Drosophila melanogaster: one gene and its partner. The protein of the gene in region 1 interacts with the protein of each later gene in a pairwise test. Each region holds a gene or a part of one and is shown on either strand. Other genes may lie near its edges.

Evidence for each region. Proteins that work in one complex are often made in the same cells at the same time.
Region 2: the proteins of CG34382 (region 1) and Arc1 interact in a two-hybrid assay, tested with the Drosophila melanogaster proteins (one large-scale study listed by BioGRID).

What each region holds. Positions count from the first base shown.
Region 1 is NT_037436.4:9,874,214-9,884,984, reverse strand, and holds CG34382 (uncharacterized protein), read right to left. Parts: upstream 6,001-10,771; 5' UTR 5,879-6,000; exon of another isoform or gene 5,652-5,878; 5' UTR 5,446-5,651; coding exon 5,409-5,445; intron 4,780-5,408; coding exon 4,412-4,779; intron 2,684-4,411; coding exon 2,369-2,683; intron 2,308-2,368; coding exon 610-2,307; 3' UTR 492-609; downstream 1-491. Other genes in the region: Taf2 (TBP-associated factor 2), read left to right, coding at 1-382.
Region 2 is NT_033778.4:14,355,765-14,362,823, forward strand, and holds Arc1 (Activity-regulated cytoskeleton associated protein 1), read right to left. Parts: upstream 4,534-7,059; 5' UTR 4,437-4,533; coding exon 3,672-4,436; 3' UTR 2,163-3,671; downstream 1-2,162. Other genes in the region: CG8617 (uncharacterized protein), read right to left, coding at 407-1,186, 1,372-1,434; Arc2 (Activity-regulated cytoskeleton associated protein 2), read left to right, coding at 6,276-6,857.

The DNA.
Region 1 (10,771 bases):
GGCAGATGAAGAAGCACGTGATACCCATCAGGCTGCCAAGCGCCTTAAGAACGAAATGTACGCCGAGGATGATAACTCATCCACAATGCTCGACGTGGGCGACTCCACCAGATATGAGAGTAGCCACGAGGAGGGCAAATTGAAGTCCGGCGATGGTGGGCTCAAGAAGAAAAAGAAGAAGGAGAAGAAGAAGCATAAGCACAAACACAAGCATAGGCACAGCAAGGACAAGGACAAGGACAAGGACAAGGAGCGAAAGGATAAGGACAAGCGTGACCCGCATATATCACGCCTGCAGGCGCGCGAGACAGCCACTCCGGACACTCTCAGCTCGGAGGACAGTAGCAACAGCAATAGCCTGCCGCCCATGAACCTTAACTAAGTGAGGGTTCTTGCAGGTGGGGAAACTGCAATGTTTGGGGGATAGATGACAGAATAAAGGTATAATACCTTAGACATTACATTTCTTAAAGGGGTTAACATTATTTGTTAGTTTTATTCATATGTTTATTTGTCGGTTTATAATTTAACATTAAGGAAGTGTGCTGAAACATTTTTACAATACTTACAAACTAGACAAGGACATTTTAACTAAAACAGGACATGGGTTTACTGCACCTTCGCCTTCGCAGACTCCGCCTCCGGAGCTGCCGCCTTGGGCTCGCTGCCCGCCACGGCGGTATCCTGCTCATCACGCGGTCTCCTCTTCTGCAACGCATGGACATGGGCCAGGGCATGGGGATGGGATTGACCCTCGATGGGTTGCAAATACGTGATACTACCGCCGCCGATGCCTGTGGCCGTTTGCTGATGCAGCTCTCCGGCGGAAGGAGTGGACAGGATCTTGACCGACGGCTCCGAGGGAGCGGCCAGCGATCTGTGTTGCTGATGTGCAGCCAATTGCCGCGTGGCCAGGCGCATGATGTGAGCGTAGTCTACAGGCGGGTGATTGCGGTACTCCGGATGATCCTTAACGTACTGCTCATACGGAACGGGAACTGGCACGGGCACTGCCTTCACTGGATATCCCGCGTCCACAAGAGCTTGGAATTCGGCCTGGGTCAGTGGCTTGCCATTGGGAGGCGGCAGATTCAATTGCTTCACTTCATCCAGAGTCCGTAGCTTCTGAATAGGAGCTGTAGTGGGTGTGGGCCGGGATGGTGTGGCAATTCCAGTTCCCTGGGACACATAGATACTGGACTGCGATGGAGACGGTGAGGGATATTCAGCGTGCAGCGGCAGAGCAGTGGGTGTCACGGCTAGATTTCTCTGGGAATGCTTTAGCGGATCCGGCGGACTGGGATAGAAGTTGGATGGCGGCGGTGGAGATGGCGATCCCTGACGTTCATAATCGGCATAGAGCAATGCCTTAGCGGGTGAAGCCAGCTTGTAGTGCTTGGATCGGTGGTACTGCTTGGGAATGGGACTCGGCTTGGGTGCCCCGGTGGGCGTAGCCTCCTGGTAGTAATACTGCGAGGGTTGCGGCTGATTGGCCTGCTGTGTGGGATAGACGACGGGTCCCAGTCGCTTGGGTTCCGGCGTGGGATAAATTGGCGTCGGTTGCTGATAGTTGCTGAACTTGAAGAGCGATGGAACGAACGGTTGGTTATTGGCATCCAGCAGGGAGTTGGGCGTACTGGCCAGGTATGCCTTGGGTTGCCTCAGCGCGGGATGCGAGGTGGGTGGTGGTGGGTGCTGCGGAGCGGGCTGCCTTGTCGCCACCTGCTCATTGCTGCTGTCAACGTAGGCCAACGATTGTCCTGGCTTATTGGCTGCCAGCAATTTCTCAATCTCACTTTCCAGAGAAGATTTCGCCAGTGGATGGTTGGGCAGGGTCTTGTAGCTTATCTGTGGCTGGTAGTAGGCAATCTGGGGTGGCAGTCCATGGATGAGTTGCTGCCCGGGATGCGGTATCGGTTTGTGGAGCTGCACCCGCTGCGGTTGTTGCTGTTGTTGCTCATCATCCTCTTGGATTTGCTGCGCCTGTGGCAAGGGCAGATATTTGGGACCACCGCGGGGATGCGAATAAGTTGGTGTCACCAGCTCCTGCTCGGCCACAAAACGCTCGCGATAGCCGCCTAATCCTAGCGAGGGATCCGCCTGCTGCAACACTTTGTGAGTGGCAGCCGTGCTGTGGATGGGCAGTTGCTTGTGGTGCTGTTGCTGCTGCTGCTGTTGGTGTTGCTGCTGCTGCTGCTGCTGCTGTTGATGCTGCTGCTGCTGACGAAGTTGCTCATGATAGGCTCTAGCCTGCAGCTCCTCCTCCAGGATCTTAAGAAACTGCTCTTCGGGAATCACTTGGTAGGGCTTTTGGAAAGTAGGATTGATTAGTATAAGAGCTTTATAGCGTCGCATTTAGATGACCCACCTGCTGATGTTGCTGCTGCTGCTGCTGGGGATTCACCGATCGATGCTGTGGAGCAGGCAGCGGCAATGGCAGTTGATAGGGACCCTGGTACTGACGTGGACGTGGTTGCTGGAGCTGGAGCTGTTGCTGCGGCTGCGGCTGAATGGACACCGCGTATCGCTGTTCCGCCTCCTGTTCCTGCTCCTGCTCCTCCTCGGCCACCGGAGTGGATGACTTCTTGGGCGCACTGGCCGCACCCTTGCCTTGACCTGCGGCCAGCAGGGCCTTGGGCTGATGATGGCGCATTATATCTTGCAGATACACGTAGTGCTGCACCTTTCGAGATACGGATACAGATAGATGGCAAGGGAAAAAGTGAGTGGGGGCGCATAATTATGGTGGGTGTGTGAACTGCCGGCGGCCAATGTCAGCAGCCGTTTAAAGTGGAGCCGCATGACCAACACCATCACCATCATGACTTAAACATAAAAAACCGAGCGAAAAAACCGCAGCGGCAACAACTGGTTGCAGGTGCTTCAGCAGAGCAGCAAACGCTGTGAGAATGGCGTGGCATCTAAAAAAATGAGTTTATATAACACTTGTGGCAAACTTTGGCAACGCCAACGCCAAACACAACAACCACAAAGAAGCGGACTCTTCGATGTTGCAACAGCAACAACAAACACAACACTGTGCAACAAGGTTGTGTGTGGGGGTTTCCCATAAAAAACTTATACAAATATGCCATAAATATTTAGATTTATAATAAAAAGTTGAAAATAAAACGAATCAATTCCTTTGCTCTTCTTTAAATTAAAAACGAATTATTGATTGAATTTAAGCTATCTTATTCGTCATGTATGTAAATTATACACTCTTGAATTTGGTCCTTTTTTTTTAGCAGTTTTAAGCAGCTTACTATAAAATTCCATAAAAATACAGAAAGCTCCTAAATTCTTCTGGAAACCTGTTGCACAGTGTGCCATCGACTACTATACACATTATTATGGCAAATAAAGCCGCCGGCGAGTCAAGGCGCCATGAAGCGACACAAAGCTGACAGACCAAAAGTGGGGTGATTATAACATTATGTCAACTTTCTTCCCACGACAAGCGCCATTGTTTTTCCACGGTCTCCGATGTCTTGCACTATTACAAGACCCACTGAAGACAAGGCGAGGCGGGGCGGGGGGGGGGGGGGAATTGGAGAAGCCATTGCCAAGCGAATCCGTTGGATGGGTGGAAACTCAAGTTGGATGGCAGGAGGTGGAAATTATTGTGTTGACGCGTAATAAGACAAATAATAATTTTGCAATTATGCATTTGTTGCTGTCGCCGTCGCCGTCATGTCGTGACTTAGTTTTGCCAACTGCATTTATAATAAAAAAATATCATTATTATTATGATTATTACAACTTTTGCCGGCACTTTTAATTTCTATACGTTTTGCAACCAAAACATTGTCTTTGGCTAATTGCAATCGCCTTTGTCTACCATCAATTGCAAATTCGTTCCGAATATAAGCCGAGATATTGGTCAAGGTTTCTTGGCCTCGGCGAAAGGGAAAAATTTGACAAAATCCGTCTGGGATTGGGCCATTTGGCTTTCTGCCTTTTATGTTGGTCGTTTTGGGCGCCGAGATGTTTACATCCGGCATTTTGCAAAGAATCGTGTGCCTGCCGCCGATGCTAAGTCACGATCGCCCAGGTCGTCCGATGTCCAATGTCCGACCTCTGATGGCCGGGGGGCCAAGTCAAAACGCCAGACAAGAGCCGCGATGTCGATGGAACGCCCCCCGATTGGCACAAAACAAACAATTCCTCATGGCAATGGTAATCCGTCAGTTGGCCAGTCGATCAGTAGATCACCCACTCCCTCTATTGAACACCCAGGGATTACGGCTGGCAGTTTTATGGGTCAACTTGGAAAACAAGTCCTGCAGTTGCTGCAGATAGCTAATACATAAGTAGTATAACCTATAACTTATCCTAGACAATCAAAAACTATGCAATGCAGAAAGGAGAAAACCTTGGATGCATAAAGTGGACAAATTCCCAAACTCACCTCCTGACTCTGCTCGAGAAGTTGGGCGGCATGGGGTCGAGAATTGGCCGCCGCAAAGTTCCTCAACTGCGGCTCCTGGTGCGATTCGTGCTGCTGATGCTGGTGCGGTGCAATGGGGCGAATGATGAACTGATTCGGCTTGGAGCCGTAGATGGTTTCCTGACCATCCTCGGGATCATCGTTGGCGCTTGACGATGCCGCCGAGCTGCGGTGGTTGGGGTACAGAGACGTCTCCTTGGAGCTCACTTGTCGCTTGTCTTTGGTCGCCTCCGATTCCAGTGGCGTGGAGGCGGAGCTCTTGCTGTCTTCCGCTGGCTTGGCTTGGCTGCTCTTGGCCTCCGCATCCACGGCCTGGGCGCAGACGAGGCCTGTGTGGGAGGACAGGTGTAGGTGTCACTTTAGAGTTTGTATATGTGAGAAACAGCACTTATTTTGATGCACCAAAAGGTTACAGTTGTTAAAATTAAATTATTTTATGCCACTGAATGGAAGTACTGTTAAAAAAAGTTATTTATGTCCCTTAAATGTTTTATGGTGCAGCATTTAATATAATTATTTTTTAATTCTATAATTATTGAACGTTTTGTATTTAATTTGTTTTATTTCTTAGCTTGTAATAGTTTTGGGTTTGGTTTTCAAGTTACTAACTGCTTAACTCAATATATCCTTGAAATAATATCACAAATACTAAATTAAAGTAATTTATTAGGATTAAAGAATTTGAATGCTAATTCTTGATGTTATTTGGATCTCTGAAATAGCAAACTAGTATAAATATTCCAAATTTTAATTTATTTTATAATTTTAAGAAGTGTCCTGTTCATGTTTTCACTCTGTGTTTTAATCCTAATTAGTTGAGAAAGAATGTCGTAGTTTCACTGATATTAGGGGAAAAATAAATACAAAATATTTTCTAACATAAAAAAAAATGTAAAGCAATTACTCTGGTAATTTCTTAGGGAACGCAAACCCTTAAACACTTTCGGTGTCTACTCACCCAGCAAGAGTGTCAGGAGCAAGATTTGGATTCTCATTGTGTGGCGTCACTGAACCAGCAGACTAGTAATTGAATATCTGAATCTGTGCCTGGCCGTTCGCTACTTTCACAGTCACTTGGCTTATATATATTTTATTATTTCCCACTTGGTTTCGTTGTCGTTGTCGTTTTCCTTGTCAGACGTTTGGGACTACGATGGTCGCATCTGCTGCATCTGCATCGAGCATTGCCGGCTGCAACAAACTGAACCAAAAGAAGCACACAACACGATGCGATTATTACTGGCAGTTATGCAACTGAAGATTCGACACAATCTGAAACCGAATTCGCAAGCTACGAACTGTGAATTGCGAAACCGAAACTGAATCAAAGTCTTAGTGGCAATTCGTATCCCGTAATCCTTGGATTGTTTTTGGCGCGAAATTCGTAACGCTACAAATTGGATATGAAAGATGAACTGATTGCTTTACCGTCGTCTGCTTTCCTGTCTTTGGTTTTTAATTTATTTTTTTACTGGTTTTTTTTTAGTTATTTAGCCAGGAGCAAAAGCTCCGTTTCGGGGATCGGATTTAGTAGATCGCGCGCGCTGCTGCACGTTCAGCCAACGAATCTTTGGCGTTGTGCGGCCAACACTTGTATTTATAAATCCGGTGGCCAAAACAGACGAGTCTCGGCCGACAGCCGAGCTTCGATCCCCGAGTTCCGAGCTCCAGCTAAAGCCACAATGGCTATATCCAAAGACGACCTTTGCGGCTCGTCGTGCCAGCCAGGCACCAACACAAAGAGAAAGGTCTGTCTGCGATCGCCTCTTTGGCTCGATTCTGCAAATGTGCCGCCTCTACAGAGGGAAAAAGGTATTCATTAAGTGCTAATAACAAGAGGTCCTAACATCACTTTAATATCCCTCTTTCGATATAACATTTAGATATGACATTTATTTTTAATAACTTCAAGATTTTATTTCATCTAATACTTTATAGTTGGACATCATTAAGAAATACGATTGTAAAGCTTATCGGTTATGAAAATTCGGTGAAAATAATTTAAAATTTATAACCAAACGTTTCTACCTTTGCTAACGTTTTAAAGAATACTTTAATAAATATATGAATGTATAGAGTGCAATAAGTTTCTGCTCACCATCTGATTTTTAAAAGCCTACTATTTCTGGGTTAAGCAGTAAAAAACTTTGAAAATAAGCCAAGACTGTCGTTTAAATGCAGTGCTTGAAATGTCAAATATGTAAATTAATATCTGCCGCGCTCTTTCCTTTGTCAAGGTTATTTCGAAATAATCCAAATAATAGCTAACATTTAATTTGGACACCAGAATTTCGTTGAAAACTCCCCCAAAAACGGCACTGTTTTTTTCTCGGTGAACCTTCGCTTCCAGGGGGCCAATTGAACGTTGACGGCCCTGTCGGTGGCTAACCGCTAGTTAAGTTAAGGCTAATGGTACGGCCCGGGCATTTGCCTGCCGCCTGGAAGCGCCCCGAAAATGCTAACGTGACACTAAATTGGCCGTCCGCCCTCGCCGAATTGGAGACGGGGAAAACACTGACTTGATTCAGGGAGAGGGACATTACTATACATTACTATACCATACTATACTATATCTGACTGCCGGCCATGGCTATTTGGGCTGGTCGAGGCTAAAGGGCACTTTTGTTTTGGTTTTGTCTCGCGTCTTTAAACCTTTCTGTCTGCGTCTGTGTATGTGTTTGTGCAAATTGGGCGCATTACTTTTAACAAGCGTTTTCGATTCGGATGCGAGACTCCTCCATTTGCGTTTCCATTTTCATTTGCATTAGCAATGCATATTTAATATGCTCAAGCCCAGTACGAGTGCTCACACCAGCCGGCGGAAAACAAAACTCCACCCCTTGCAGCAAGTTCGCTGCCTAAGTCTTTCGTTTGACATTTGCAATTGGCAGGGCACAGTGGGTAGAAAATGTGTTCTTGATAAAAATGTATGTACGAATTTTTAATGTAATGTAAAATATGTTAAGAAACAAATAATCGAGATAATTTTTATATATTAATTTTTATACAAATTTTCAAGAATTGCTGTTTTATTTGAACACAATATAGAATAAACTTTTTGTATCCATGACCACTGGATTTCGGAGATACTTTGTAATTGTGTAAATATACTATGATTTATTGTTAGTTAATTTAAATTTAAAAGCTACTTGTGTAGATGTGTCCACTTTGTCCACTGGATCATAACTTATGCTTCATTATGTTTTTGGTTTACTTTAGTAGTGATGCAAATTTCAAGACAAACCCGCTTAGGCATCATTTTAATAATCAGAGATCTATAAAAAATTAACCGCAAATAGTGTTAGATTTATCAATGAAGTGTCAAAACTTCTCTCATTTCTAACCGTACAGAAAATGTCGAAATACCATTCAGTTTTGGCCAACTGTGCCCTTCTGTTTTTTCGACGGATTGGGAATTAACATTTCAGCGCATGCGTGGGCAGCTACAGTTAAGAGTTAGGAGTTAGGAGTTGGAGTTAGCTGCTGCTGGCAGCATCACTTATTGCGAACTCCTGACTGCGGCTGACGGACGGAGTCAAGTCGGTGGCCAATTTGGGCAATTGCGATTGCCGTGCTGGTTAATTGAGCCCGCTTACCTAATGCTATAATGCTAATGCCGGGCTATGTCCGACGATCGGGCTACGATTTTGGGCCTTTGCGTTGGTGGTGTCAAAGTTAACACGGTAGCTGTGAAATTTGGCGCTGGGGAAATCCGTGGAAATTGCCAACTGATGCAAGCCTGCCATTTCCTCATCCTTAGCAAATTGATTAGGACAGTTTGGCGGCAAAAGCTAACCAAATAAATAAGTTTATAATTAAGTGGAAGATTTGCGGGCAGCAGCAGCATTTGTTATTGTTGTTTTTTCTCTCTACTATATTTTGCGCAACTCTTGATCGAAGCCGCTCGCAGTTACTTATTATAAATTCTCCTACAGCTATCTGTTGTTGCTACTTTGTTCACATTGTCATTTGGCTGTCTGCGTGTTGCTTGTGAAATTGTTGCATTGCATGCAGCGGCAGAAGTAGCAGCAACATCACCAGACGACGATGCGATCTGCAGTGGCAACATCTTCTTTTCTTCAACTACTATTTATTATTGTATTAGTTTCTACGCTGCGGCTGTTTTTTCAGTTATATATATATTTTTTTCTATTTTTTTTTTTTTCATTTAATTTCAAGTGCTTTTTGCTGTATTTTTAGTAGATTTTTTTCCGGCTGCAGCAAGCAGAAATGCAACAGTTTCTGGTCGACTCCACTTAAATCAATGATGATCATGACGGCGTTGACGATGATGATGATGATGATGAGGCTGGCAGTTCACATTTTGGCATTTGCATTCAGCAATTCACATTCGCCGAGTATCCGAGTTTTTTTTGAGCCATACGACAGTTTTATGCTCCAAATTTTATGTGTATCAATTTATCAGACGAAGACGGAGTCAACCTTAACATTTAGTCTATGGTTTTTGATATACTCGGACTGAAAACATTTACCAAGATCTTAATTGGCAACTTTTGACGGTTTTTTTTTTTTTGTATTTTTGCTAGCGGTTTTCCACCACCGACGGTTGTTAATGAAAAGTGGTTTTACAATGAAATTGCACAATCGTGGCCAGCAATGACCTGCGAAGATAGCAAACCAAGTCGAAAGGAAAATGTATCGCCGCGTCTTGTGGCCACAATGGAAACCCAGCTCCATATGACTGGGTCTATGTTGATGGCAGTGTACTGCGAATAAATAATGTGTAATTTACCAGCGCCAAGTGACAATTAAAATGCCATTCGGCGAACTACTGTTATGCAGTAGTAACTCACTGACAAATGCCGCAAATGCTCCTACGGATGGTTAACATTTTCGGTCACTCGGAACCGAGATGGCATTACCAATATGACGATGTACAAGTTAATTGGAGTTGGTCAATAGTACTATACATAAGTCGACGTATTCTTGGCATCTTAAGACTGTTGCAGAAAAAACTCCTAAGAGTTTGTAAACTACAGTTTATGATTCCTGACGTAAAGGAAGTAAAAAGACGATGGATTTTATGACGTTTAAGTGCAATAAAATCAAATGTGTTATTATAACGAGGAACATTTAAAAATTGAGTGCATTTCGATGAGATTAAGTGCAGAAAAATAACTCATAGTCAAATTTAAGTAAATTATTTTACAAGATTTTAGCATACGTAATGCTTAATGAGAAGCTATTATTCTTCAAAAAGCTCTATTTAAGAGTATATTAACTTATTTGAAAAGTACATATGTAGACCTATAAAGTATATAAGCAGATATATTCTTGATTAAAACTTTCATGCCGTACGTACTTACTTGGTTTTCAGTAGTTATAACTCAATAATCTGATCTAGGATTATACCCGACTTCGATGACAGAAATCAAATCTCTAGCTAAGATAGCCTATCGCCATCTGACTAGGCCACAACCGAGATTTCCATCTGCAATGCTCAATTATGTTTACAAACCTGCAAACCTGCAATAGCGACCATAAACGTCACTGGCGGACAATTTATGAATCGTAAAACCCGGCCAGGCTAAAAGCGAAAAAGTGCATTCTAATTCATTTGAATACAATTAAAATCGCAGAACGAACGGTATTGCAAACGCTTGGGAAATTACTCAAGTGAAGGCCCCACATTTCGTGATCCCCAACTGGCGACAATTCGTGTCCGTCTTTGGGACAGAAAGTCCGGGATTGGCCGCCCAACTCCATTGAAGCGTGGCACCAGCACAGAAAGAAATTTAGCTTAAGCTAACTTAGCTAAATAAATATTACACAAATATTTGAAAGTAACATACTAAAATATAGGCGAATTTTAAAGTAATTTTTAAGAAAGTGCAGTAAGTGCAGTGATCTAATGACAAAATCAAATCGATCATCACCGATTTATTTGCATTTCTTGCCATGCACTGGCACGACCATCGAAATGGCTTGCTAATGAGCTGTGCTCCAGCCAAAAAGGAGCAGCCATCCGTGAATTACATGCTATGAGGATCGGATGGGGGAAACGGAATCTTTGCTTTTTGGCTGACTTTTGACTCGCATTGTATTATATGATTTGCGTTGCCTGGTTTCCTGGTTTTTAATTTCGGTTTTGCGGCCACAAGTGCTTGGCATAATCGCCGCAAATACCTGGCCTGCGTTTAATGACGGGCCTAAGCACCCATGTAGATTTTCACCGTCATTTGGACCAAAAATATATGGACTGTGGATCGCCCCAAGTCCATGCATCAGCGATAATGCTCGCTGTGATGGCGATGCAATAACTTAATGCCTTCCATTCACGCCAAGTCGGCTCCAGATTCG
Region 2 (7,059 bases), on another chromosome or scaffold:
TTCTCGAATACAACACGTTTTGTGCATTTATTGGAATCGTTCTGTTCGTGGAGCTATCAACCATTCGGTGGTCGGCTGCACCTGCTCCGCCCCAGAGGCGTAGGCGTAAAACTAGGCTTTAAACTAAATGCGTGCCATGCGCTGCGTCCGCGATCCGCCACCAAACCCGATCAAATGCAGGAGTGGTGCTGGGATCTCGAAGGCCACGGCAATCGGCGTAGAAGGAAACTAAACGTATGGAGAGAACAGTTCGGTAATCGGTAATAATAATCGTAATAATAGTAGTTTGTAGTAATTAAAATAATTTAGTTGAAATTCACATTCATCACATTGGTTGGCCGACCATCTGCCATGCCTCATTCTCAACTGTTGCTGTCGTCGTCGTCCTCGTCGTGGCCTCCGCCTCTCAGGTGTCTGCATCATTGAAGCTCATTGCTGCATCGAAACTATCCACGATGGTTTCCATGCGCTCATGATGCTCAAATCGGGCGAACTTTCGCGCAAATTTCCGGCCGGATCGTGCGGTACTGTACCTCCTCGAGAAGCGCGCACGCCGAAAGAAACGGAAGCGCGTGTCCTCCTCCTCCTCGTCGTACTCCGGCGCAGACACGGAATCCTCGTCCGTTTCGCGCAGAAATTCCTTCGGATCCCGATGAATCTTAAAGATCTTGGTGGCCGTCGCCCCGTTTAACTTCGATATGGTGCGCGAGGCATTGAGTATTCCACTGGAATTCGAAATGGAATTGCTGCGGTTCTTAATAGCCGTCAGCCGGTTTGTGATGGACACCACGTTGAATAACTTTGACAGCTCCGAGTCGACGCAGCGCGATTCGCGACGCAGGTTCTTGCCATTCTTTACGTAGATGAAGTGGTTCAAGGGGCTCTGGCTCAAACTTTGGCTATCCAAGGGATGGCTTCCAGCGGAGCAGGTGGGCGAGATGGAGACGGATACGGAGTTGCTGCTGCCGCCGCACCCGCTGGTCAGCAGAGTGGGCGTGGAGGGCGGCGCTGGCGGTGGCACATGCGGCATTGTGTAGCAACGCTGGCGGCCCGAGCTCAATGAGGAACCCCCGCCCGCCGGCCCGTCGTACAGGTTGGTCACGTTGTAGCGGCTCAGGCGGCACAGCGACGTGGACTCCGGTTCCAGTTCCGCCTCCGGGTCGTGGCTGGTGGGCATGTCCATGGCCTGTGCATGTGTGTGCGTGGTTTTTGGCCAGGTTTTTCGAGTGGGTGGAGTGTGGCGAGCGGCGAGTGGAGAGCGAAGAGCAAAGTGGTGTCGTGTGTGGTGCGACGGGGCGAAAAGAAAGGGCGTTGCAGCAGCCACTGGATTAAACCTATTCATTTATCTGCGGACGCAGTGCATCCACTTACCTGCAGCAAGCCTTCGACCTCCATGTACTGGCTGTCGGTGGTGAGACGGTGTGTTTTGTGCATCAGTTGTTGATATCAGGTATATTGATTAGGAAATATATAAATAAAGACTGTCATCGATATTTGCTTCCACCTATCGGGCTGTTGTACTTCGATATCAGCAGGCTTTATTTATGTTAGACAATCGGGACCCACGGCACGTCGATAATTGGATACTTGGCGATATCGGTATTTCGGCGGCGCCACTTTCTTAACACATTTTTCAAACAAACTTTTTTCGAAAGCACACACAAAATACACGAGATATTGTTAGTTAATTTCAGACCGTTCCGTCCGACCTCGAAACTGCAACTGTATAAAATTAAAATTACTTTGACACAATGACTAATGATGTAGCATAATTTATTTAAATATCATCAAAAATGTAACAAGATGTAATCACACAACATCTGACTTCTGATTGGGATATTATTAGTAGAAAGTAAATCCAGTTAGATTTTAAGTCTGATTGTAGCCACTTGAAATTATTATACATAACGTCTAGAAGGGCTGAGACATTTAATTATATTGAAATAAAGAAACCAGTTTTAATATCATTTAATGTTGTATTTTTATATGGCATATTGTAATATTCATTTCATTCGGTGGAGCATTTATTAAATACGTGAGCTTTGTAGAGCTTGGCTAATTGCATTTTTTCTTATATTATATCAACTTTTGTTTAAAAAAATGATTCCCTGTAAAAATGTTGTCCCATCCACCCCATAAAATAAAAACAATTACGCAGTTTTCCGTTTCTGAGTTTAATGGTTGTTTTCTAGTTTCAGTCTTTAGTTTTACAGTTTTATATTTTTAGCAGTTCCACGCAACCACTTGTGGTCTTCCATAGGCCCCCACTCTGGGTTTCTGTGTGGGAATAGCGGGCCAAACTATTGCTGTGCTTGTGGCCAAGATTCCAGTTGATGGCGCACGGTGCAAGTCTGGTCAGCCGGGTCAGTTGGCTGGTCGCGCCTATGTCATCTGCACAAGCGGCCGGTTTTGCTTGGTGTGGGGGCGGGGAATGACTGTGCCGGCTGGAGGAGCACGGCAGTGACGCGTTCCAGCCCCTGACGTTTGTGTGTTTTGGGTTATATACTGGCGTGCCGAAGCCTGTCGCGAAATCGCTTGGGTCGAATGTTAAACAGCCCTAGGCCCGTGATCTCGAAGAGACAGTTTTGGCGTGCCAACCGCACGGATGGCGAATCGTTAGCCATCGTAGTGCTATGTGGGTTCGAATTGTTTTGACAAAAGTCAAAAAATTTGTTGGTTTTTTAAATCTCCGAAGAAATTTAGGTTTTGCCCGGCTCACGCCCACTGTAGCTCCACTCGCACGGGGGACATCGCGAAGGGTTGCGACACCGGAAACCGGAAGCAGCCGAAGCCGCTACCGGAAACGGGTGGCGCCCACCTTCAGGGCCGTCGAAATCCTCCTGCAAAAGGATCTAAGTGGGCATTCACCGGGCGGGGGGTTTTTTGCTAGCTTCACAAAGGACCAGGATCAGACGAAAAATCAGCAAATATATGGTTACAATAGCGATGATTGCCATGTCTCTCAACACAGTGATCATATCTTTTGATAGCCAAATAATCGCTTTTTCTCCGCTGACCGGCACAAAGTGGAGCCGGCGGTTGTGAGAATCAACGGTTGTGCGGGGCGGCTGGAGATCAGGCAACATCCATTTCAGACTCGCAATGTCAAAACATAAGATTCGAAGAAAATGGAGCTCCATGCCGAGGCACTTCACCCGCCATTTGGTTCGAATATCATATTCCTCCATTGCGAATAACCGATCTTACGGACGAAATGCCAGATCCTCAGCCGCCCCGCCCGATGATTCTCGAAATCTAGTTTCTAGTTGCAAATAAAGGTTCAATGTTGCAATAAAAATTATTGCTTTCCAAAAGCTGGCGTTCTGTGCCAAAGTAGCCGCAAGTCGGCGTGAAATTATATGAAAATAGAGCCGTTTTCGAGGCATTGCGAATAGCAATACAAACAGCGTGGATTTGTGGATTTCAGAAGCTAGTCGAGGCTTACCGGCACGCCGATTGCCAGTGAGTATGAAGAGTATGAAGAGATGTGGCTGCTGTTGCTGCTGTTGATGTGGCTGCTCCCCATCTCCAGCTCTCCGGTTGTTGGGCTCTCTCTGACGTCGATCGGCTGGCGAGGCTACGAAAAGTTCTGTTTGGGTGGGCGGCAGCAGCGATGAGGTCATCAATGACGTTGGCTGCTGCCTGTTGGTATTTGATGTTCTTTTTGTCGCCTACTCCTCGTGCTGCTCCTCCTGCCGATCCTTCTGGCGCTTACGGCAGTTGTCGAAGGTGTGCCCCCGGAAACTGCAGTAGGTGCAGCGGGTGGTGCGCTTGGAGCCACGGGTGTTCTTTGCTGTGGCAAGCTGTTCCTCGTCCTCCTGGTTGTTGTGCTCGATGATGCGGCCCTGTTCCAGGAGATCCTTGAAGGTATGGACACTGTGGCGGGAGATGTGCTTGCGGTACTTGATGTTCAGCAGACCGAACAGAAGATCCAGTTCCGTTTCCTCGTCGTGGCGACCGCTGGGCAGCTGGGCCAGCAGCGCTCGCTTCTGGATGACGAAGGTGTCAATGGGGTCATGGTCGTCCTGCTTGTTTTGGAAGAATTCCATGTAGATCTGGTAGGCGGGCTTGGTGGGCGAGAAGTGTTCGCGGATGAGAGCGATGGCTTCCTTCCACGTGGTGGCCTCCTTGCGGACGCCTTGCCACCAGGTGCTGGCCATACCGTAGAACAGCAGCGAGATGCCCTTCAGGGCGTTCTCGTCGCTGATACCTTCTACATCCTTGTATGTCTCGATGTTGCCGATGAACTCCTCGACCACGTCGTGGTCGCGGGTTCCGCCGAAGCTGTGTGTGCAAGCGGAGAAGTTGCCTTTGCCTCTGCTGGCGTCTGCTCCTCCGGCTGCTGCTGCACTTCCGGCGGCGCCCACGGCGGCCGCTCTTACAGCTTCGATCAGCTCGCGGAGCTGCTCGTTGGTCATCTGTGTAAGCTGGGCCATTTTCGCTGCTGTGTGAGGTTAGGTGATCAAATTAATCTTGGTTCAGTCGGCGGACAAAGCCAGTGTAGCGAATGCGGCCGGTGATTTGAACTGAACAGCTCTCCCACATTGCAGCCCTTTTATATCCGCCTGTTGTGAAATCGAACTTCGAAAAAGCTTGAGGCATTGGGGAGAGCCAATAAGAGAGGGAAGGTCTATGTTTTTGGTATTATTGCTCAGAGTGAATCATCACGAAACGGGTGGCGCCCACCTTCAGGGCCGTCGAAATCCTCCTGCAAAAGGATCTAAGTGGGCATTCACCGGGCGGGGGGTTTTTTGCTAGCTTCACAAAGGACCAGGATCAGACGAAAAATCAGCAAATATATGGTTACAATAGCGATGATTGCCATGTCTCTCAACACAGTGATCATATCTTTTGATAGCCAAATAATCGCTTTTTCTCCGCTGACCGGCACAAAGTGGAGCCGGCGGTTGTGAGAATCAACGGTTGTGCGGGGCGGCTGGAGATCAGGCAACATCCATTTCAGACTCGCAATGTCAAAACATAAGATTCGAAGAAAATGGAGCTCCATGCCGAGGCACTTCACCCGCCATTTGGTTCGAATATCATATTCCTCCATTGCGAATAACCGATCTTACGGACGAAATGCCAGATCCTCAGCCGCCCCGCCCGATGATTCTCGAAATCTAGTTTCTAGTTGCAAATAAAGGTTCAATGTTGCAATAAAAATTATTGCTTTCCAAAAGCTGGCGTTCTGTGCCAAAGTAGCCGCAAGTCGGCGTGAAATTATATGAAAATAGAGCCGTTTTCGAGGCATTGCGAATAGCAATACAAACAGCGTGGATTTGTGGATTTCAGAAGCTAGTCGAGGCTTACCGGCACGCCGATTGCCAGTGAGTATGAAGAGTATGAAGAGATGTGGCTGCTGTTGCTGCTGTTGATGTGGCTGCTCCCCATCTCCAGCTCTCCGGTTGTTGGGCTCTCTCTGACGTCGATCGGCTGGCGAGGCTACGAAAAGTTCTGTTTGGGTGGGCGGCAGCAGCGATGAGGTCATCAATGACGTTGGCTGCTGCCTGTTGGTATTTGATGTTCTTTTTGTCGCCTACTCCTCGTGCTGCTCCTCCTGCCGATCCTTCTGGCGCTTACGGCAGTTGTCGAAGGTGTGCCCCCGGAAACTGCAGTAGGTGCAGCGGGTGGTGCGCTTGGAGCCACGGGTGTTCTTTGCTGTGGCAAGCTGTTCCTCGTCCTCCTGGTTGTTGTGCTCGATGATGCGGCCCTGTTCCAGGAGATCCTTGAAGGTATGGACACTGTGGCGGGAGATGTGCTTGCGGTACTTGATGTTCAGCAGACCGAACAGAAGATCCAGTTCCGTTTCCTCGTCGTGGCGACCGCTGGGCAGCTGGGCCAGCAGCGCTCGCTTCTGGATGACGAAGGTGTCAATGGGGTCATGGTCGTCCTGCTTGTTTTGGAAGAAGTCCATGTAGATCTGGTAGGCGGGCTTGGTGGGCGAGAAGTGTTCGCGGATGAGAGCGATGGCTTCCTTCCACGTGGTGGCCTCCTTGCGGAGGAACCGCCACAAACTGTGCTCTCCAATTATTCAAAAATGTTGAAGAGAGAGAGAGTGTTGGATATTTTTCGAAACTCGAAAAAGCTTTTACTTACGGAGAAAGAGAGAGGGAGGAGAGCAATGTGGCTTTTCATTTCACAACAAGCGAAATTGCCAGTTGCCCCCCAACCGTCTAACGATTGGGGCTTGAAATCGGAATTGAGCTGGTCTATTTCGGGCGCTTGTTTACTCATTTTTTAAACCCAAACAAACCCAAGAAACCGGCAACAAAATGACGCAGATGTCCGACGAACAGTTTCGCATATTCATAGAAACCATTAAATCGCTGGGGCCAATCAAAGAGGAACCGCCATCCAAGGGTAGCTTTAGCAACTGCACGGTGAGATTCAGTGGCCAGCGGGATCACGATGCCGTGGACGAGTTCATCAATGCCGTGGAGACGTATAAAGAGGTGGAGGGCATCAGCGACAAGGATGCGCTAAAGGGTTTGCCGCTGCTCTTCAAGAGCATTGCCGTGGTGTGGTGGAAGGGTGTGCGCCGGGATGCCAAGACCTGGTCGGATGCCCTGCAGCTGCTGCGCGATCACTTCTCGCCCACTAAACCTTCCTACCAGATATACATGGAGATCTTCGAGACGAAGCAGTCCTACGACGAAGTGATCGACTCATTCATCTGCAAGCAGCGAGCGCTCCTAGCCAAGTTGCCGGAGGGACGACACGACGAGGAGACGGAGCTGGACTTCATCTACGGGCTGATGCAGCCCAAGTACCGGGAGAGCATACCCCGACACGAGGTCAAAACCTTCCGGGAGCTACTCGATCGGGGGCGAACTGTGGAGCGCACAAGGCACTGAAGTTAGTTAAGTTAGTGGTATAAAATTCTAGGCCAATAAACACAGATTGCACTAAATAAATCTCTTAAGCGCCTTTATTGGGCAGATTTTAAATAACTTAATAACTACATGTATAAACCATTTATTTTTTCATTTATAAGCTTTAAGATATGATTCATTCAATGATAAGTATCAGCATATACAAATAAATAAATATACGATG